Neurospora crassa OR74A: one gene and its partners. The protein of the gene in region 3 interacts with the protein of the main gene of each other region in a pairwise test. Links are inferred from orthologs where the notes say so. Each region holds a gene or a part of one and is shown on either strand. Other genes may lie near its edges.

Region 1 (6,936 bases), on a different chromosome or scaffold from region 3:
CCCGCAACCTGGCGCCTGATAGCCCGCGCCATGCTCAAGCTGGATGTGTACGGACAGGGCGGGGCGGCAGGGACAGCGAGTCAGAGGCCGGTGATTAGCTTGGGTGATGATGATGGTGGTTGTATGATTGGTAGCCGGGACAAGAGTAAGGGCAATGGCCTTCAAGAAGAGCCGTGCGAGAAGGTAGAGCATATCGGACTCAAAGATATCTTTGCGAGGTTGGAGGAGAGGTCGAGGAGACGACAGGAGAGGTTGGAGGCATTGGTGGCGAGTGGGGAGTTGGAGGGGGTGATTCCACCGATTTCCGGGGGTCTGGATGTCGGGAATGCTAGAGAGAGGTCGACGTCGCCGATTGCGTCGACGGGGATAACTACGACGCTGGCGGCGGCGGGCGAGGCGGATGAGAAGATGGAAGGAAAGGTGGACGGAGAGAAGACGAGGTCACCAGGTATGAGGATCATTGCATCTGCGAAGAGTGCGATGGACAGGTTGTTGATTTCCTGATCTTTTTTCCGTTTTTCTGCAATATTTTGTTTTTCACCTTCTGGGCGTTGTTAAGGGCTTAGGAGGGAGGGTACGGAGTTGAACGCCCACATAAGCGGAAGCTTCATTGTTCTCTGTTGCTTTGGTATGGCATGACAGTTATGTTACGTTCCAAGCGTGGAGTTCTGAGGTTTCCTGGTTTACTACTAGGTATTATTTGGGTGTATGGACATGGGGATGGTATAAATGACCCCCCCTTTTTTTTGTCGTCACGTTGGGTTGCGATTGGGAAGAAAGGTGAGCCTGGCTTCTAACAATGAAAATTTCTGATTGTTCACTAACGTGAATCTGTTGGTTCGAACGGTTTTGGTATGATACAATGTAGTATCTAGTGGCCATTATTACCTAGCTATTAGCAACTATCGCCATGAGCTTAGCTTTTTTTTTCTTTTTTTTTTTTTTTCTTTTTTTTTTTTTTTTTCCCAAATAACGAGAAATTTTAAATATATGTATAATATATATCATGATAATACTTAGACACACTTTTTGCACGTTTTCCACTGAGATTGGCCGGACAGGCGGGTTTGTATGAATCAAATTGTTGCGTACAGTACCTGTCACTTGCGATGAAAGGCTATGACATAACAGCAAGATGTCTTGGGGCAAGCTTGAACTATTTGAACTCGATTCTTTCAGGGATGCATTGATCCATGAATCCATGAAGTGCCTCGCAATTTTGGAAAGACTACTGGAAGTCGAATTGCGTGTTACGTGAAGGCCAATTCAGAAGTGTAGCGAATCCGACGTGTTCGGTCTGTATGGCCACGCGAGTAACACGAATGGAACTAACCTAGGCGAATTGTACTATCCTCGAAAGTATCGTATATGATCGTATCGAAGAAACGTAGTCCTGATTTGAGTGAGATCTGAAGCGAAATCTCGGTCCACTATCGATTCGATGGAAAATCTCAACAACTACGAAGAACATTTCTTTTCATCTTAGGACTATTTCGAGCATTGCAACAAACGCCTTGTTTTCAAGATTTCCACTATGAGCACCGTCATACAGATAGAGACAGCCAAAAGGATTATACGCCGCTAATGATCAAAATTATACCACATCACATAACCCATTCCTGACTTTCTCCTAGGTACCCGTGACGTATTTTCAACTCCCAAATGAGATTCAAATCACCCTCCACATAGCATTGACCGGCGTGGCGGGCCATACCCATCATGTCTCCATTTGCTCGTTTCGCTTCCAAACCCATGTAGACAACACCCTTGCTTGGCTCTGATTGCCGAGCTCGAATCAGCAAGGGATTCTCATGTACCCCTACGCAAATCCTTCTCCCCTTCACCTCGTCTTTCGGACCCCTTAGTAAACCTTCTTCTTCTCGTCAATGCTGAACTGGCCCGGGCCAGTGTTGGTGAGGAGCAAGAGACCTCCGACGATGGAGAGAATCTGGAAGAAGTCATACTTGGCGAAGTCCTTGTGAGGATGATGCTCGTGAAGCTAGAATGGCACACAGTTAGCAGCGGTTCGATTTAAAACAGAGCTGTCTCCGTTAGAAGAGAAATCACTTACAGTCCAGAAGTTGTTCACCAGAAGGTTGAAAATGCTCAGAATGACAACCAAAAGAGTAGAGCTGAACTTGGTCTTGAAGCCGACAACAACCATAACGCAAGCAACAAGGCCTACGAGTGAGACAATGATACGCCAGATGGTCCACTCTCCGCTGAAGACGAAGCCAATGAAGAGGAAGATGAGGAGGACACGGCCAGCAAGCTGGAAGTACATCTTGCGGTCCTTCTCCTCAAGCGTGGGGAGACCGGCAAAGGCCTTGGTCTTGCGCACCCATGAATCCGAGAGCACCATAAGCAGACCGCCCATAACAGAGAGATTGCGGAGGAAGAAGTTGAGGTCGAAGATGAGTCCGTAACCGAGCGCCTGGGTGATGACAACGCCGATGAGACCGCCGACGGCATACTCAGAGTACTTGCGGATGATGACGAGGGTGGAGCAGGAGGCCATAGCAATAACGTTGACGAGAAGGAAGAGGTGCGTGACGCCATTGGGAACTGTAGGATATCCATGGTTAGTAAATGCTTGGCTAGCTGTGCGCAAGGTGCAGACTAATGGACCCTCGAAGGGCACGTACTATGGCGGTAGTCGTGAAGATACAGCAGCTGGTCGTTCCACTGGGTCATGATTCTGAGCGCATCCTCGATGAAGGTTACGACAATCAAGAAGCGGCCAATGGCGGGGAGGTATCTGTATACACCACCGTTCGGTCAGCAGCAACACCCTAACGTGCAGTAGAAGACATCCCTCGACCAGGGCTGACATACGGCTTGATGGGCTCGCTAAAAGAATCCAGGACGTCCTCAATCTTGCTCGTCTGCTTCCGAATTGCGTCGAGAGGGCTGGACTCGGTCGAGTCTTCGTTGACGGGTCCTCCGAAAGGGCTCGAGGCACCAATGCCATAGCTGCCGGGTCCCCGCATTTGCGCCATTGCGTGAGGTGCGATCGCGTCTGGTCTGGTTGATCAACTGAGTATGGCGTCGGAAATCGAGACGTTGTCAAGCACAGGTGTTGCTCCTGGATCGCGAAACCAGGTTGATGTTGTTTTGTGGAGGGATGAGCGCCGAGAAATGGGAGTGATGACGGAGGGTTCCAGCTCAGGGTGACTCCAGAGAGCAATAATAAATGCGGGACCGAGCTTGTACAAGTTCAGGTTGAGAGTGGAAGATGGGCCCTCGTTTCGATTCAGGCGCAGCAGCTTTCGGATTGAGACCTGGTGGTGAAGGGTCAAGGTCCGACTGACAGCTGAAGAGGTGGAAGATGCAATTGAAGGCAAGGTGGATTTGAAGATGGAAGTGCTCCGGTGGTGAGGTCAGTCAGGTACCTAGGTTATTAACATACAACTGTGTCCTTAACCAAATGTCTTTCCGTGATTTCCTGCAAGTGCCTCATCGAGAAGCTGCCAAGGTGATGGGAGCCTATGTTACAAAGTACATACACTGCAGTAGAAGCCACGCCTTCAAATAAAGTATCCTCAAACGGAAATACACACAGCGGGCAACTGTGGGTCCCATACTCTTGGCCGACGGGTCAACCTTCCGGTGTTTCGAATTGCCCTGCCTGCTGGAGTGCCCGAGCATCCAAGGTCACCCAGCTGGACTGGCCTGTTGCGAGCGAGCGCACGAACCAACCGTTGTTTTTGGCACGGGAAGAATGGAGCCTCGGAAGCGATGGATCGCCAAAGACCCCACGCTGCGACTGGGTTTAGCTTTCTCGAATCTCGACTGTTTGGATAGTGCGATCTGATCCGAATTTCCCCCTTTTGGAGACGAGGAATAGCTTCAAGATCGAAAAAAAGGGAGCCTCATCGTCGTGTCTGACACTTCTCCTAACTCCTATTCACCTCGATCTCGACATTCAGTAAACATGCTACCGCAACCCCGCTGCAAAAAAGTCAAAACTGCGCAAGGGTCCTCCTCAATGCAACAGCCCGATCAGACTACACTACGAATCAGGAAGCTCTTCAGGCTCTTTTTTCACAGCCGAGCGACGATGCTGACAAGGTCGAGTATAACAGACAAGTGCAGGGGTCAATGCCTTCTCAGCTTCCATTACGGGCCGGCAAGGTAGTTCTCCGATCCACACATGCGTCCGCTAGGCCCGGTTCGGTGAGGAACGGGACTCGGTAGTTTGTCTTGTCGTGTCCACCGCATGGGAAGCATGCTCGACTCCAAAGGCACAACCTTAATTTGTCCCATTGCCGCAATCCGGCATGACGGCGACGTCGGCATCGAGTTGGGGGTCCAGGACTTGAGGACTAATTACGGCGATGGCGAGAGGTCCCGCTGGATTCCTTCTCACGTTGATTTACCATTTCATTGGAATATCTACTCCCTTTATCGGGCTCAGTTCATGGTACTTATAGACGAAGACATCTTGAAGATTTGAAAGACTTTAAGCCAGACCTTCACTTCGATGGCCTTCGGTGTTCTGAAGCGCTCAAGCTAAATCACTTGCAGCGAAGTTCTGACAGACTTACAACCCATCAACATTCAAAAGGTAAACCCTCTAGCATCGCCAGTCGCGTATTCTCGAATCCCTATCCCCTGCCGAACCAGAGTCTATCACTACTCAGACAACCACACTTATCAGGAAAAGACACCCACTCATACTCCAGGAAAAACCTGCACGCACCCCAAGCACCAGATCTGTACGGACTTGTTTCAGTCACACCTTCATCATGTGTTTTAGAACTGGTATCAAATAAACTAGTCTAGTAGGTTGAGTCCTGTCAATTAAAGTTGTCTAGCGTTTTTGAAGGTCGTAACGTGGCTGTGTGTGATTTTGGTTGCAAGGACCAGCGCCATGAATGTGATTACGAGATTCAACGGTCAGTTCAAGGGAAAATAGGCGCGGAAGGAAAAAAAAAAAGAAAAAAAAAGAAAGAAAGAAAGAAAGAAAGAAGGAGAAGAAGAAGAAGAAAATAGGAGAAAGGTAATGCTAGATACTAAGACCACGTGCGTGCTTATCGCCACATTTCATATCAATCCGACCGTTGTGGCTGAAAGTCATCGAGTATACTTCTCCAACTTGGGGTGCGCGTAAGCAAACCTTGGAGTGCGCGTAGCATCTCTCATCAACGATACCTACCTTACCACATTCACCCTTAAGCGTGTCAAGAAGGGCAAGAAATGTTGTTTTTTGAATTGTCTCAATTAAGCTTAAACTCTCCTCAAACTCCTCGGCCAAAAGGCCTATCAGCTGGCTAACCACAAGGGAGCGGGTCAAAAGAAGAAGCGGGAAGCATGGAAATCGAACAAAGACATACTCACGCCCCCTAGACTCTCTCTCTCTCCCTATAGCCCTGGGGCCTGCAGAAGAAAACCTGTTCAGAAGTTTGCCTCCTACTGACCGGTTCTCCGTTACTAGGCCCCATGGAACGTGAGGAAACAAAGGGATGGGGAACAAACGGGACAAGCATGAGGACGGGACAGGGCCCATTTCTTTGTGTGGTAGATTCCCTGACGGACCGATTCCCTGAATTTGGTGAACCGTTTCTGAGTTTGGTGTGGCTAAACCTTTGTTGGTCTAGATGGTGGTGTGCGCAGGGTCGGAGGGGTACCGTACGGTTTTGACTTGAATTAAGTGAGGCGTTGACTTGGGTTTGGAAGTTGGGTAAGTCATCTGTACGTAGGTATGTGAGGATGTAAGTCTCGAGGAGGAAACTCAATTGCCGTGATGTATGGTCGCGAAGGCTCTGATAGTAATTAAAACGACAATATCGAGCAAGTGTCCTTGATTCAGCTTGGGATACCAGAAACTAGGCAATCTAAAACATTGACAGATTTCCACTCAATAGCAGCCGGATTTGTTTTCAGAACGCTACCATCACGTAATTTGAGTTTGAGTGACACATGGCATAGGTTTGCCTATTGTCGCTCCCATTAATTCTCTCTGTGCCATTTATAGTCCTTCATTCGTTAAGCAACTGCCGGTTGACAGCCGCAAATTCAGATTACCACTCATCGCTTCTGAAACTGATTCTCCTCACCAACTGTCCAACCCTGTTTGGCACCTTCGTTGCTCCCGCTCTCATATTGCGGAGGAGGCGATCCCGGCATCGTCGACGGAGGCCTGACTGAGGTGCCGTCTCCGCTTGGAAGCTCAACCGGAGCTTGATAATTAACATCACGCGAGTGAGGAACCCTTGAAGCATGAATGAATCTTGGTTAATTACCTTTCAATTCTCATCTGTGGAAACATAAAACTTACGAGCTCAGTTCTCCAATCATGAGAGGCGAGTTGGGCCCGGGTACAGGCGCGCTCCCAGGCGCGGACATTGCGTGTCCGTTATAAGTATTGTAACCATAAACAGATCCCGGGGAGCCAGGGTTTTGCTGTGGTGGGGGAGTTCCATATGGGTATGGAGGCTGCTGAGGGCTCGCCGTCATGCTTCGATACGGGTCACTGGGGTCCATGTGTGGATAAGTCGAAAAGGTCGTGAAGCTGGCTTGGCCGGGACTCTTCAGGCCTGCCGGTGTCTGGACAGGGCTGGCTGGATTGTGTTGGTTGTGGTACTGTGCCTCTACCATGGTCGGAGCACCAGCGGCATCGGTACCGGGTGCCGGCGGATGAATGGCGCTCTTGCGATAGGCCTTTTGAAACCCTCCCCTTCGACCGCAGAAAAAGACTAAGGCAGCGGCAATGGCTACCACGGCGGCCGCGCCGATAGCGATTCCCGCGATGGCCCCGGCACTAAGGCCCGACTTTTTGCTTCCATCTTCTTTTCCATAGTTTGGATCTTCAGCCTTCCATGTCTCTCCCGGCTTTAGATCGTATGTCACTTGTTCTGCGTACTTCCGTTGAGCATCCCATGAGTGCGTAGCGTTAGGGTTGATGACACCGATCATTTTATGGGTTGAACAGGA
Region 2 (7,336 bases), on a different chromosome or scaffold from region 3:
CAGACAGCATATCGCCGAGCAATTACTTTCTACTTTTTACTTTTACTACTGTTTAATCTTTACTTTTGTACCCAAGTTTGTGCTCTGGGTGGGGGAAGGGTCGTATGGCATAATCATGCCGTGGAGAAAGGAATGGATAAGAGACCGCAGTGGAAGGAGGAAATGAGTGATGGAAGGGATGGTGGACGAAGTTATGGGTGACTATATATGAATGAGAATAATGCGCGTGTCTGTTTGAGCTTGTCTAAGAGATCCACTGACTGATGACTGAGGATGGCATTAATCACACCTGGCTGGTTTTCTGTCAAGGATTGATTTTGTGTCTATATCTGATTTTTCCATCTGGATAATTCATCCTGCTTCTGGGTTCATCCTCTGCTTTTGTCTTCCTCATCCATCACACTATATGTCGAAAACCCTTTACATTTCAGCCATTAATCGAAGCATACAAAAGAGAGTGACATGAGTCTCATCCGAATCTCTCACAAGCATCAACTAGTGGAAATGTAACAAAGACTATGATAACAACAACTGAAACAAACCACAACGGTGAAAAGAATATCAAGTGATGAATTAATCGCTATACAACCCTCCCAATCACCCCATACATCATCTTTTTCATCTCATCTAGCCGGAGAGAAAATCTGTTCAAGCGGCAGAACCAATCTTGTTCAATGCCTTGAGGGAGCCAAGACTGAGGGCCAACCCTTGCGATCTGCTGCGTATCCTCAAGAAACCAGTAATGGGTCCGTCTTCACCTTCCTTTTCGATGCTCAAGTTTGCTAGAGCGTCCTCGCCTGAATAAGAGAAGGGAAGTTAGCGATGCTATTTCCGAAAGTGCTATGCGAATGACGAGAAAACTTACCGAAAACGCTTCTTGCGTAAAGGTTGGCGCTCAAGAACTGGCAATCACCCTTAAGACTGGCCTCTGGTGTCAAGCAGTTCATATTTGTGGACGCCATAAGCAGGTCCAGGAACTCACGTAGGCTCTTCGCCTTGCTGTTGATGTTGACCTTGTTCTCCCACTCAAACTCGGTCCACATGGTGCGGAACTGGGTCTCAGTGCAAGTTGCCGGTTGGATGTAATCCATGATGTCGACGTGCAAGTCGTTCAGGATGACCACGTGGGTATCAGTGGAGTGAGCACCCTCATACACGACGTTGCCAAAGATGACACCAGTATCTGTGGAGGAGACCTTGATGGTGCACTGAACGTTGTGGAAGTCGTGGGGTCCCAGATTCTGGCTTGTCGGCTTCTCCACAACCTTGAGGTCACCGAGAGTTGCGAACTCGACGGTAAGGTTCTGGAGGGTCTCAGTTGTTTGGTTGACGAGTAGTACGTCTAGTACAATGTCGAACTGGTGGACCTTGACATAGGCCTCAGCATAAACAGGGTCGGAGAAACCGGTGAGCTGGACAACGCGGCTAAGCTTGCCAGATAGGTCCTCAGCCGAGCTGTTGTCTCCACCAGTGGCACGCTCGAGATCGGCATCGAAAGCATCAGCCCCATCAGTGGCATTCTTCTTGGAAAGCTGGCGGATTTGATAAACATCGTCCACCTGGGTGGCCGTCTTTGCCTTTTGGTGGGCCTCTTTTGCTGCGCGCTTCTTCTCCTCAACCTGGACCATCGCCCTGAACGCCTTCCTGGTATCCTCGAGATAAACGGTCTCCAACTCCTTGTGCGCGGTGAACTCGGCAAGGGAGCGCACACAGCTCATGATACGATCCACCGAATCTTCATCAATAGGGGCCTTGACGAACTGCGACTGACCAACACGAATGACGGAGATCATGATGAGCATAGCCTCAGCGCGGAGGGCGTTCGTGCGAGCCTCTTCCGAGGAGATCTCGGCATGACGCATGACAAGCTTGGTAAGGGTCGATGCGAGAACAGTGGCAAGGTAGTAATCGCCGTCAAGGATAAGTTGCCTGAGAGGGGGCTTCGACGAAGCCTTGACAGCCTCCAGGCGTGCAGCAGCTGTAGACTGGCTGGTAAGGGCAGTCTCGGTAGCGTATGTGCCGTCAGCAAGGACCTTGCGTGAGCCAGTCGGCGCTGCCCTTGAGCCATTGACCTGCTCCTTCTCCTTCTCCTCGGCATCACCATCAACATTATCCAGCAACCGTTGCTCGGATGCCAAGATCGGGATCTCACCCAGGCTTGCCCGAATTCTCTTCCATGCGTCCCTGATATCCTTCTCCTCAAGCGAGTACTCGCCGATAATCCAGAGAATACCGCGGTAGATCTTACCAGCGCGGACTTCACTCAGGGTATCTACCAGTCTCGCAATGATTGCTGGCCTGAGCTGAGGGAACTTCTCGACGACCTCCTTGACAAAGTTAATAACATCAACGGCGGAGTTGTTGTTGAAATCGGCAATAAAGTCCATGAGCAAGCCGACGACGCTAGCGGCGACTTCGGAGAACTTGATAGCGCATTGATGGATGGAGTGGATAAGAAGCTGGCGGTACTCGTTGTTCTTCTCGTACTCCTGGTCAACCGTCTTGGACAGCTCCTTCTTGAGCAAAAGCACGACTTCCTCCACGTTCTTGCTGGAGACCATCTCCAAAGCGATCTCGAGACCCTTCCTCCGCACATCGATATCCGTGCTAGAGAGAACGCGCAACACCTCCATGGTCAGGTCGTCCAGGACGCCGGGGTTCTTTTGGCGGAGTTGATCGACACGGTCCAGAACGATAAGCTTGACATTGTTATCCGCCTCCTTGATCGCAAGCTCAATGAACTTGCTGGCAGCAGCCTTGACAGCGACAGGGTTGTTGGTGAGGGCCGTCAACGACGAGGCCGCTTCGTAGATAACGGTCGAGGCACTAGCTTCCAAAAGGTCAAAAATAAGACGGAGGTAGCGCGCCTTGTTCTGGGTGTTGACAACAGCATCTTTCCTGATGAACTCCAACTCGGCCAACTGCAAAAGCTCATCTGCGTTGGGAATACCGTCAAAGACGGTGCTGAGATAGAGAAGAGCCTTGTCGTGGTCGATGCTGGCAAGGGCGGCGAAGCCATTCCGCTTGCAGGTTGGGTCGCTTTCGCCTTCGAGGAACGTGGAGATCAAGTCCGCAGCATCGGGAATAAGCGACGGGGAGTGCTGGTAAATGGAAGCGACAGCAAAGACGGCGTTCTTTCGGACATAGGCATGGCGATGTTCGAGACAGCCCCGGGCTGAGGAGAGCAAAGGCTCGAGAAGTTCGGCCTCCCGCAGCTTGCACAGGAAGCGCAGCGTGTTGCCTCGGATGTACTCGTTCGGGTGTTGCAAGTCGTTTCGGATGCCGTTACTGCGAGGCAATGGCTGGTCAGCTTGGAGGGGCCAGCATGCCCAGACGGACACGGAATGCCTTACCATACTAGGATGAACTCCTGCTTGAGCTTCCCTTGGGCATCAAGCTTGGGGCAGATCTCATAGTAGAAGTATAGAAGCTTCTTCAGGGGCTTGGATTTAGAAGGCATTACGAATCGGATAATGTGCATGAGCAATTGGGGCATGGGATCGCCATTGAGCATGATGGTAAGAATGCGCTTCATGGTCTCGATCTTGGTCTCGTCGGTGCCCTTTTCGAGCTGCGTCTTGAGCTCCTGCACGGTTGGGGTGCCGTCGACGGCATTGTCCTTGACCAAGCTGTAGGCATTTTCGAGGAACGACATGTTGGAGAGCTGGCGGCGGCCGGGCCGTCTTTGATTAAAGTTGAGATTGAATTTGGTAGAAAGTAGCTGGCCGGGCGTCCTGAAGAGGAGTCGCGGATCGAAATTAGAGAGGGGCGGGTGTGGTAAGGTGTTGTTTGCCCCGTTGTAGGTTGCGTGGTGCTAGTAAATGGATGGACTGAGTGGCTGCCTCGAGCTCCTGAAGAGTGACGATGAGCTGGCCTTGGTGCTGGATGTGGTTTCCTCCCCCTGGACTGACAGGGTCGTGGTTGGCCGAAAATCAAGAGACGGCTGCGCAATGAAAGGGTTGTCTGGAGTGCGCCGGCGAGGTGAGAGAGCGGAGCATCACCTGTGCTTGTTGTTGAAGTCTGGAAGAGCCAGCGTGGATAGGACGGTCAATTCTATCGAGAGACGGCCCCTGGGAGATGTGGCATTCTGGCCGGCCGCAACAGCACACGGCGAAGCACGGACCCCCCGACACCCTTACGGCCTCACCAAGCCTCCATCTCCTGGCCGAGTCTGCCATCTGCCAGCTTGTCCAAACAGTCGAAGGATCACGTGTAGATACGGATTGCCAGCTGTCAGGAAGGCTCGTGAACCCGGAGTCAGCTTGGAGCCCAAACAATGCCCCTGGGCCAAGCTGGGGTCAAGTGTGGGGCCGTGTGCCCCGCCAATGTCACTGGAGCGTGGCCGCGCGGGCGCGACTTTCAAGGTTGTCCATCCAAAAGCGACAGGAACCAAGCCGCTGGCTGCATCTCTGCCTCTTGTCTTGCAAAGCCTACTACTGACAGAAGCAACAAACAGCCATGTCAGCCGCCAACGAACCCTTCTATCTGCGCTACTAGTATGTACACCCCTACGGGATTCGATTCACTCACACATTGAAAACACCATGCTAACAGCCGGCTTAGCTCTGGCCACTCGGGCCGCTTCGGCCACGAGTTCCTAGGTGTGTTCAGCCATTTGCGCCTCGAGACGCAAGCTCCCACGTTTCCACGACCACGATGCTAAACTACCGCCCTTTGACTACAGAGTTCGACTTTCGCGTCCTCGGCGACGGACGTAGCGCCACTGCCCGATATGCCAACAACTCCAACTACCGTAACGACAGTCTGATCAGGAAAGAGAGTAGGAAACACTGTTTAGCCGGCCGTGGACATCCATATACTGACGAGGGTCTCTTTTAGTGTGCGTCAGCTCTCTGGTCATTGACGAGATCAAGCGCATCATCAAGGACAGCGAGATTATGAAGTACGACATCATGTTCACCCTTTTATACAAACAACATGGAGCGGCTGCTGACAGGCCAACAGGGAAGACGACGAGAAATGGCCGACCAAAAACAAAGACGGAAAGCAGGAGTTGGAGATCCGCCTCGGGAACGACCACATTTCATTCGAGGTGCGTCTTGCCAGTGTCGGAATCTATTTCTGCAAAATGTTCAGAGCTAATACAGGAAATAGACTGCCAAGATCGGATCGATCAACGATGTTACGGACTCGGCCGACCCAGAAGGCTTGCGCGTCTTCTACTACCTCGTTCAGGACCTCAAGGCGCTGGTGTTCAGTCTCATTGCCTTGCACTTCAAGATCAAGCCCATTTAATCTTCCGACACGAACGAATACCCCGAGTTTGATATATCCTTACTCATGGAAAGGAGAGATTTTGTGGGATAATGCGGCGTTTTATAAAGGCGTTCTTTTCTATCTATTGGCGGCGCAGATGGGTTTCTTGAAACTGGATTTAACATGGATAACTTCGGGACTGGCACAATCGTATACATTATCGACCAATCGCCCCACTGGCCCCCGAACCTAAGAGTCGTCATGGCTGTTTGTGTCAGCTATTGATGATGACCAACCAAGCAGTGTGAGGCAAGATATCCGATGCAGTTGCCAGGCGGAGACCGAGTGATGGAACACCGACATCTCATTACGAAGCACACCAAAAGCATGCCGCTGTACGATTCGTACAACAAATTCGATTCGTACCTCTATGTGAAGAGAGACCTGCCATGGCTGGTCTTGAATCACGATTGATCAAGTGACAAAAGGTTGGGCTACCAACTTTAAAGCAGTAACAAGGTCCGCACATGTCAAAGTAAGAAGTTAATCGATCCAACTCTCCGACTTTTGGCTCTTATTGGCGGTAGACCGGTTATGCTGTGTAACTTTTCGCTTGACGAGTAACGCGGGGTAGACTTTCCTTCCGAGACACATCCAATGCGAAATGGCTTCAGTTTATGGTAAATCCAAGTAGTACAAAATGCTTCGTGAAACTCGGTCCATCCTGGAGCCCTTCGTCGTCGACGTTCCTGGCATGTGCGACGGATCGGGAAGGGTCACTCGAGATGGAAGTGGAAGTTACCTCGGTGGGGCTACTGACGTGAAGGATCTCCACCGCGATAAGCTCTATCGAACCCCTGAAGCTTCCGTCGACACCGCCAAACTGCATGCTTTGGCTCGGCAGCGCTTCTCCCAATCCCGCACTGCAAAGTGGAAGTCAACATCAACCCGCTTGGCAGCACGGCGTGCGCGGGTGGCAACTGCATCGCATGCTGTACCTGTGTGTGTGTTGTTTTGGCCCCGAGAGGTACAATCGCAAGCGAGCGACCCAAGATGGAGGCGGGAGGCCGATACCGCCAGCTAGTTTTCATCTTTGTCTGCCCATCAACCGCCCACCCACCTACCCACCCTCATCAATTAAGGTTGAAAGTGGAAAATGGGAGCGGACCCGGGGCCATTGGAGTGCCCACCAACAAGGCGGGCATGAGTCCGTGGAGTTTTGCTACTAGACAGATACAACTTGACTGTTGACGGCAGAACGCCATCACTCGACCCAGAAAATCGTCATTCCCTTGCCCTCGTCTTTGCTTTCCCGCGAATATTATAACCTAGCTGCATCTCATTGCTACCACACCTACCAACAAACTACCTAGGTGTCCAGCAATTTCTCTTCCCGCTTGTCACCTGCCGCCTGGTTTCGCATCGCAGCACATATTTTTTCTTGGACATCATATTGCTACTTGGACATTTTCCTCCTTTGGGAGTTCGAAACCCCGAGGTTCTTGGGTTTTCAGTTTTCTGGTGGTGATCGAGCCAATGAATTCGCAACAGCAGCGAACGCAAGTGGAAATCAACTGCCGCCAATTTGCCAGCGCTTCTGTCGCCTCCTGCTTCTGGTTGACTGCTTCATCTTGCCTGTAAGACGTGTTCGTTCTTGCGATCTGAGTGGCGGACCGCTACACGTTGCATACCTAACACACACCCACTGAATGGCACCCCGGACCAGACTCCAGTCGTCGTCTTGCAATCCACTTCAGCTGCACTGGACCCTGGGGTTCCTCCACTCAGACATCTCTCCCGCCATCAAGGTTGTTGGATGGTAATAGTGACGGTCAGGTCGCACTACAGTCACCCCGTCGCGATACGTATTGGTTGGGCCCGAGAACATCTATCTTGTCGCTTGCTTGGTTCAAGCCTGGGATCTAACTACACCTACAAGCTCCCACATCGACATCCAGTCGCTTCGGCTTTGCAACTTTCGCAGAGATCACATCTCCCGCTCAGATCTTTGGTCTGACTCCTTCCTTGTCGTCCCCACCTGCCGCTGTCATCGACATTCCATCCCACTGCATCGTCGCAAAAGCCCTTACTCCACCCGCAACACCGAGACGCAGGACAG
Region 3 (6,897 bases):
ATCTCGCGTCCGCGGCCATGGTATTGTTTAGCAAGGCGGCTGTCCAGCTCGGGGTTCAATACTTTTTGAGCACTATCATGGCAAGGTCAGTCGAAAATTCAACACAAAACACAAGCATGCATGCAGTGTTCAGAATGGATCAATACGTACTGATCTCTGACGCCACGAACGAGGCGGCTAGCCAAAGCGCTGACTTCCTGCTGGCGGGTGGCATAGATTCTTCCGCCTCCAAGATCATCAAGTTCTCGCACAGCAATAGCGTCATCATCGTTGAAAACGCCCTGTCGTTGGGCCTCTGCCCAGATATCAGACACAGCGGGAGCAGGTCGAGGCATAGTAAGACCAGAGTGTCCCCGGCCATCATGACGACCATGACGAGGAGGGAGGTCAACATCCTCCAACGGAAGGTTTTCGACGCGAGCAGTGCCGAGGTCATCCATCATGGCCTTTGCCAGAATGGCTTTTCTCTTCTGCTCCTCTTCGTCGGCGGCCGATTGGCCATTCTTGTCGCGGTCCGTCATGTTGGATCCGCGACTAGAACCGCCTGGACTGGATAGCGCAATGCTAGTCATCAGTTGTTAGTGACGCAGAAAGGTGTGCGCTTCTGTTAATATACGCACCGAGTATAGTACGTGTGCTCTGGACGCGTCCAGCCTTGGAAGTGTGTAGAGTGTACGCTGTTGGGTATGCTACCGGATGGTGACTATTCGACGGCGAGCCAGCTGAGACAGAGCGAAAAAGAAATTGCTAGTTTTAGGTACTGGCTTCGTGGGAGAGAGTCATGACACCGATGGAAGGAGAGAGAAGCGTGACCTGATGATTGGCAAATTTCCGAGAAAGAAAATCTGACACAAACCTTGGGTGAAGGGAGGTAGGAAGGACGGGGAAGGTAGTGGAGTGAGCGGGTCCAGGTACGTCGTACCTTCCCCTCGAGAGTATGTTTGCTTGCGTGAGTGGGGGATGAGAAAGTACTCACGGAGCCCTTCCGCGGGTTGGAAAGGTAAGTAGAGCAAGAGGTACCTTTAGGTACGGCGGGGAAACCTTCTTGGCAGGTACTGCTTGTCGTAGGAGTTACGGAGCTGAAGGCGGGAAGATGCCGGGTTCCCAGCTGAGCGGGAGTGCTTCGATGGCTGGTGGGGAGGTAACTTCCAGATAGAGCTGCAGGAGGGATGAAGGTTGATATTTGTTCGAGGAGAGGAAGGGACCTGGTGAGCGCGCTGCATTGATAGCGGGATGTCAAAGAAAGTTGCCTCCAGCTATCTTTTTGAATCCATTCAGGAGACGAGAAAGGCCAGAACCTCCCGTCAAAAGAATGTCAGGATTCAGTCAACGAGATGTTGGGCAGGTGCAATAAAGATGTTTGTGGATATGACAATGGGCCTGAGGAGTTTCCTGGGCATTATCCCATTGGGTTCTATGGCATCGATGGCAATGAGCAGTACCGTATCTGCCAACGATAAACTCTCCATCATTCAGTAGCAACGATTTAAGAAAGTGGTTGACCGCGCGGCGGTCTGCCCGTCCGTTTTTGATTATTGTTTGTTATCGCGAACAATAATGGATGAAATTACCTGAAATGGTGCTTCTCCAAGCGAATAGAGGGAACTGAAAAATTAACAGGTCAAAATGTATGGCATCTTACATAGGATACATCAAGTGTAACACAATACGAAGCTCTCCATCTGACTACTATCCTTTTTGTTCTAACGTGACGACTTTTACAGGTTGCGGATACAGTCCAGGACTTGTTTCTTTGTTGGATTGATACATGTCCTCAAAGACAGCCGTTCCAACAACCTTAAACATGCCTAACATATTTTCGATATGTAAACATTCATCAGAATCATCACGGGTATCCAAGATAGCACACTGAAAGTACGGCTAGGTCATCTTCATCAAAATGGGGGGCTAACTGGATAGGTACAGAAGCGCTTGGATATGTTAACCAAGAGATTTAAACCAATTAGATTTCCATGGGAGTGTTGTACAAACACACCACGCCTACACCTCGTATCCATAAAGTCCGGACTCCCTTGAACAACATGGACACAAAGCCAATACATCAGAGACCAAGCCTTGAACGGCCAACAATGCTATGAGGTACACGAGAAGGACGGACAGTTACGGAGTCATAACATTCAAAAAGGGAGACGGGTTTGAAAACGGATTACTGCCGTGATAGGAGTCGTTGAGAGCACGTAAAGATACATAGAGATCGTAACCAGCACCGTGATATATGCTCGGAAATTCAAAGAAAGACAACTGGACAAAACAAAGGGTCTAGAGAATTGGACCTGTAATCAGGCACGTAGGAACCCTCAGAAAATATCCTGAATTCTCGTCAAATGCCGGCGAAGAAGTTGTTACTAACACCAGACGAAATGTCATGTAACGGTAACGGAGTGATGTTGTTGACGACGATTCAGGGGTAAAGCAAGGCAGGCCTGTCAGGGTCAGGGTTAAGTATGGCAAACGGGTTCCCGCCAGCCATGCGCATGCTCGAGCTAATTCCAGCGTAGTTCCCGTAACAGGCCCCTGTCAGGCACACAGGGATCTACGGCCAAACGCCAAGCCACGGCGGATCGTTTCGCGGGGACCAACGTCCACTTGTCCTCATCGATGAATGTCCTCCGAATGGCACCTCATCCATGCAAGGGAACGAACGCCCGGTGTCTTTCAGCCGCCAGGATCACCACCCTTTTTCCATAGAACTTGCTTCTGCTTTCTTCAGTGTTTGGTGTACTAGTACATAGCTTGAATCTTCATCCTCTTTCTTTCCACAGCAGGGACTGAGTGGATTTGTTTAGTCCAACGAACCGAGCCAATCCTCGCGAACCGGATGACGAATTAGCTGAGTGGGCGCATTCGCAATTTCCCCCAAAGGACAAGAGCTACCTGCAGCAGTAGCCGGCTGTGTCCTTCCGGAACTACACCATCGGGTCTCGACGACAAAGTGCTTTTCGAAAAAAACACCAATGCGGTAGCTCAGGATCAGAAATCCGCTGTAGATTGGAATCGAAAAGAAATTCAAAACGGAAAACAGTGGTCACTGTCACCACCAACCGACAGCTTGGGTTGCCGCCGCCGCCCTGACAAGTGGCAGAGGAAGAAGGGGGACCAACAACACCGGCACGGATTGCAGTGCTGAATCGCATCCAACATACGAAACCAGACATATTTACCTTTTCGCAACTCCGGTTACGATACACAAACACATACACGCATAAAGATGAACGGCTACGACGAGAAGCGTCAACTAGACGAAGACGCCTTTGGCGCCAAGGGGAGCATAGTCAGCGCCTTTGACGCTTTCCGTACGTCCCTCCCTCCCCTCCCTCCCACATCCAATGCGCTTTCATACATCTTCAAATAAACTAACATGAAAGTCCTACCTACTACTACACAGCCAAATCCAAACCCCAATACGTAACCCGCACCACCGCCGGCGGCAAATGGACCGTCTTCGTCGGCCTCATCTCCTTCATCCTCTTCTGGTCCGAAGCCTCCCGCTGGTGGCGCGGCTCGGAATCGCACACCTTTGCCGTCGAAAAGGGCGTCTCCCACGCCCTCGACATCAACCTCGACATTGTCGTCAAAATGAAGTGCCAAGACATCCACATCAACGTGCAAGACGCGGCCGGCGACCGCATCCTGGCTGCCTCCCGGCTGCATCGCGACCCGACGGTGTGGCAGCACTGGGTCGACAACAAGGGGATTCACAAGCTGGGACGGGACGCCCAGGGCAAGGTGGTTACGGGCGAGGGGTACATGCAGGGGCAGGGGCATGACGAAGGGTTTGGGGAGGAGCACGTGCATGATATTGTTTCTTTGGGCAGGCGGAAGGCCAAGTGGGCGAGGACGCCGCGGTTGTGGGGGGCGACGCCGGACAGCTGTAGGGTGTTTGGCAGTCTGGAGTTGAACAAGGTCCAGGGCGACTTTCATATTACGGCCAAAGGACATGGATATATGGAGTTTGGCCAGCATTTGGATCATTCTGGTTTGTTTTCTTTTCTCTTTCTCTTACCTTTGCCGAAACTTCAACCATCCAACTCTATTTTCCACAACAACAGCTACTAACAACAACAAAAAACAGCATTCAACTTCTCCCACATCATCTCCGAGCTCTCCTTCGGCCCCTTTCTCCCCTCCCTCGTCAACCCGCTCGACCAAACCGTCAACATCGCCTCGGCCAACTTCCACAAGTTCCAGTATTTTATTTCTGTCGTCCCCACCGTCTACTCGTCGTCAGGCAAATCCATCGTCACGAACCAGTACGCCGTCACGGAGCAGTCGCAGGAAGTCACGGAGCGCATCATCCCGGGCATCTTTGTCAAGTACGACATTGAGCCGATTCTGCTGCACATCGACGAGGAACGGGATTCTTTCCTGGTTTTTATCATCAAGGTCGTCAATGTCATTAGTGGTGCGCTGGTGGCGGGTCATTGGGGGTACAGGATTAGTGATTGGTGTCAGGAGGTGTGGGGGAAGAGGAGGAGGAGGGCCGGAGGGCCGAGTGAGGGTATGTTGGGTGGGAAGGGACATGAGCGTGATGATTAGTTGTAGGTGGGAGAAAAACCAAAATGTGGTGGTTGTGGAGGACAGGTAGAGTGTGAAAGAGAGAAAGATAGACGGATGTAGAAGAAATTGGGTGAGACGTCGAGATTGAGTTGGAAAGATCTACAGAATTTTCAGGTTTTCACAGCGTTGGTAGCGTCTATATTTACACGTTCCGTTATTTCGTCTTATGTCCATGTCTGTGTAACCTGGAAGCGATGCTGTGATTGCCGCTGTTAGTAGTACTGCTAAGGTTTGGTAAGGTTTGACTGAGCCTTAAAACGACCTCATGTCTATTTAACCGGTGGTAGACAGGTAGATAAGGAAGTAGTAGATTAACTGCCTGTCCTACCTTCCCAGCCGTGTTGCATATCAAAGGTCCTTGCACCACACATATTTCATAAACGGAACAGAGTTAATCTTTGTTAACTTTATTCGCTCTTCCGGGTATACAGACGCTTCTATAAAAAAAGACGAAGAAATCTCTCTACTCTTATCATCCCCTCCAGGGAATATGTCGAAAACCCAAAACGCCCAAATGTGCCGCTCTTTTTCTTCCCTGCATGCTTTTGATGTTTTTAATTTTGCTTTCGCTTCTTTGGAAAGCACTTGAAATGCAAAATTTATCCTCTTTGGCGTATGGCTCCATGCACTCGCATATGCGAATGCTATGCATACCGGGTACCATCATCCGTACGTTTTGTTTTTTGTTGTTGTTCAGTTCTCTACACCTCCACTCTAGATAGGCGGTCGTCCTTCTTTGTAGTGGTCGATGAAAGGCAAAAGGAGCGAGCGAGGTTTACTCGCGCTTTGCCTCCTCATTCTGCTCTCTCTTCCTCTTTTGGCCAGCGACAGCCTCATCCCTGTTTATATCAAGTGTCGTGTGAATAATCCTTGTCCTTTTCCCAACTCTTTTGCAAAGCAAACGCTTGGTTTCCAAAAACAATCAAATGACAAGAGACATTGCACAGCGACAAAAAAAAGAGAATCCAGAAATCCAGTAAGGGGGGGCCGGAGTTGGAAGATCCCTCGCTCGCTAGAGTCGATGGTCCAAAGGGGGGGTATCAGATCGCTATGTGGGTGTATTGGGCAGGCTTACTCCTCGTTGATGACGACACCCCACTCGTGCTGCTCGTTGCCGTACATGATGTCCTTCATCCAGGACTTGATCTTGGTGGTATAGACGCCGGAGTCGTTCTCGCCGAGAGGGATGTGGACGTCGGTGCCACGGTGGTGGATCTGGGAGACAGGGGCGATGAAGAACTGTAAACGGCAAAGTTAGTACGTGCTTGGGCGGAAAGATGAGCTATGGGGGGGAAACAGTAACATACGGCAGTACCGGCGGCGAAAGCCTCAACAATGCGGCCCTCCTTGTCAGCCTCGATGACCTCATCGATGGTGTAGCGGCGCTCGACAACCTCGACCTCGCCAGCAAGGCGGGCCTTGGCGAGCTCGAGGACGGAACGGCGGGTGACACCGTCAAGGATGAGCTTATCGTCAAGAGGAGCAGTCAGGAGCTGGAGCTTGCCACCCTCGGACTCCTTGGCGCGCCAGACGATGAAGAAGTTGGAAGCACCAGCCTCAGTGCAGTAAGCCTCCTTGCCGTAGAGCCAGAGGATCTGGTGGAAGCCGCGGGCCCTGGCCTCGTTGGTAGCGAGGAGGGAAGGACCGTAGTTAGCACCGACCTTGGCGTAGCCGAAACCGCCAACCCAAGCGCGGATCATATCCTCGGGGTTGGTGTGAAGGCGCATGCCACCGGCGGGGCTGTCCATGCGAGGCATGAAGGAAACAGTGATGAAGAGAAGGGCCTGCTTGGGGGCCTGGACGCCGAGCTGGGGCTGAGTGCCGATGACAGCGGGGCGGATGTAGAGGAAGGAGCCGGGGCGGTCCTTGGGGAGCCACTTGGCGCCATCGACGGCAACGAGCTTGGCGATGAGCTTCTCAACCTCGACAGGGTCGAAGCCGGGGAGGGCGATACGGAGGGTGGACATGAGCAGGCGCTTGGCGTTCAGGTTGGGGCGGAAGAGGCGGAGCTTGCCATCGAAGCCGCGGAAGACCTTGAGACCCTCGAAGCACTCGGTGGCGTAGTGAAGGACGGAGGCCGTGGGCATCAGGGAGATGGGGCCGTAGGGCTTGAGCTCGGGGACACCCCAGCCAGACTCGACGTTATAGGAGACAGTGACCATGTGGTCGGTGCAGATGGTCTCGGAGGCAGCATTCGCAGTCGCTTCGTCGGGGACCTGGCGAGCATTGGGGTCGGCGAGGGTGACGACGAGCTTGGAGGCATCGAGCTCCTGGATCTTGGGGACATCGGAGGTGCCGTTGATGAGGGCGTTGGCCTCG

The links.
Region 1: the proteins of NCU04293 (region 3) and NCU03319 interact in binary tests that used the Saccharomyces cerevisiae proteins (3 or more experiments, as listed by UniProt). The link is inferred for Neurospora crassa OR74A from reciprocal best matches to the Saccharomyces cerevisiae genes ERV41 and ERV29.
Region 2: the proteins of NCU04293 (region 3) and NCU04404 interact in binary tests that used the Saccharomyces cerevisiae proteins (3 or more experiments, as listed by UniProt). The link is inferred for Neurospora crassa OR74A from reciprocal best matches to the Saccharomyces cerevisiae genes ERV41 and SEC26.

What each region holds. Positions count from the first base shown.
Region 1 is NC_026501.1:5,293,250-5,300,185, reverse strand, and holds NCU03319 (COPII-coated vesicle protein SurF4/Erv29), read right to left. Parts: upstream 3,415-6,936; 5' UTR 3,000-3,414; coding exon 2,836-2,999; intron 2,759-2,835; coding exon 2,646-2,758; intron 2,566-2,645; coding exon 2,072-2,565; intron 2,000-2,071; coding exon 1,862-1,999; 3' UTR 1,485-1,861; downstream 1-1,484. Other genes in the region: ada-4 (all development altered-4), read left to right, coding at 1-504; NCU03318 (hypothetical protein), read right to left, coding at 6,031-6,214, 6,281-6,936. UniProt on the Saccharomyces cerevisiae protein: Constituent of COPII-coated endoplasmic reticulum-derived transport vesicles. Required for efficient transport of a subset of secretory proteins to the Golgi. The C-terminal di-lysine motif is required for exit from the endoplasmic reticulum.
Region 2 is NC_026504.1:3,469,512-3,476,847, reverse strand, and holds NCU04404 (coatomer beta subunit), read right to left. Parts: upstream 4,094-7,336; 5' UTR 3,656-4,093; coding exon 3,354-3,655; intron 3,289-3,353; coding exon 866-3,288; intron 798-865; coding exon 649-797; 3' UTR 294-648; downstream 1-293. Other genes in the region: NCU04405 (mago nashi protein), read left to right, coding at 4,459-4,496, 4,564-4,601, 4,685-4,780, 4,840-4,903, 4,966-5,053, 5,116-5,256. UniProt on the Saccharomyces cerevisiae protein: The coatomer is a cytosolic protein complex that binds to dilysine motifs and reversibly associates with Golgi non-clathrin-coated vesicles, which further mediate biosynthetic protein transport from the ER, via the Golgi up to the trans Golgi network.
Region 3 is NC_026505.1:5,523,390-5,530,286, reverse strand, and holds NCU04293 (COPII-coated vesicle protein), read left to right. Parts: upstream 1-2,617; 5' UTR 2,618-3,229; coding exon 3,230-3,314; intron 3,315-3,406; coding exon 3,407-3,997; intron 3,998-4,093; coding exon 4,094-4,557; 3' UTR 4,558-4,747; downstream 4,748-6,897. Other genes in the region: SAD-2, read right to left, coding at 1-72, 151-521; NCU04292 (branched-chain-amino-acid aminotransferase), read right to left, coding at 5,650-5,817, 5,886-6,897. UniProt on the Saccharomyces cerevisiae protein: Constituent of COPII-coated endoplasmic reticulum-derived transport vesicles. Required for efficient transport of a subset of secretory proteins to the Golgi. The C-terminal Ile-Leu motif is required for exit from the endoplasmic reticulum.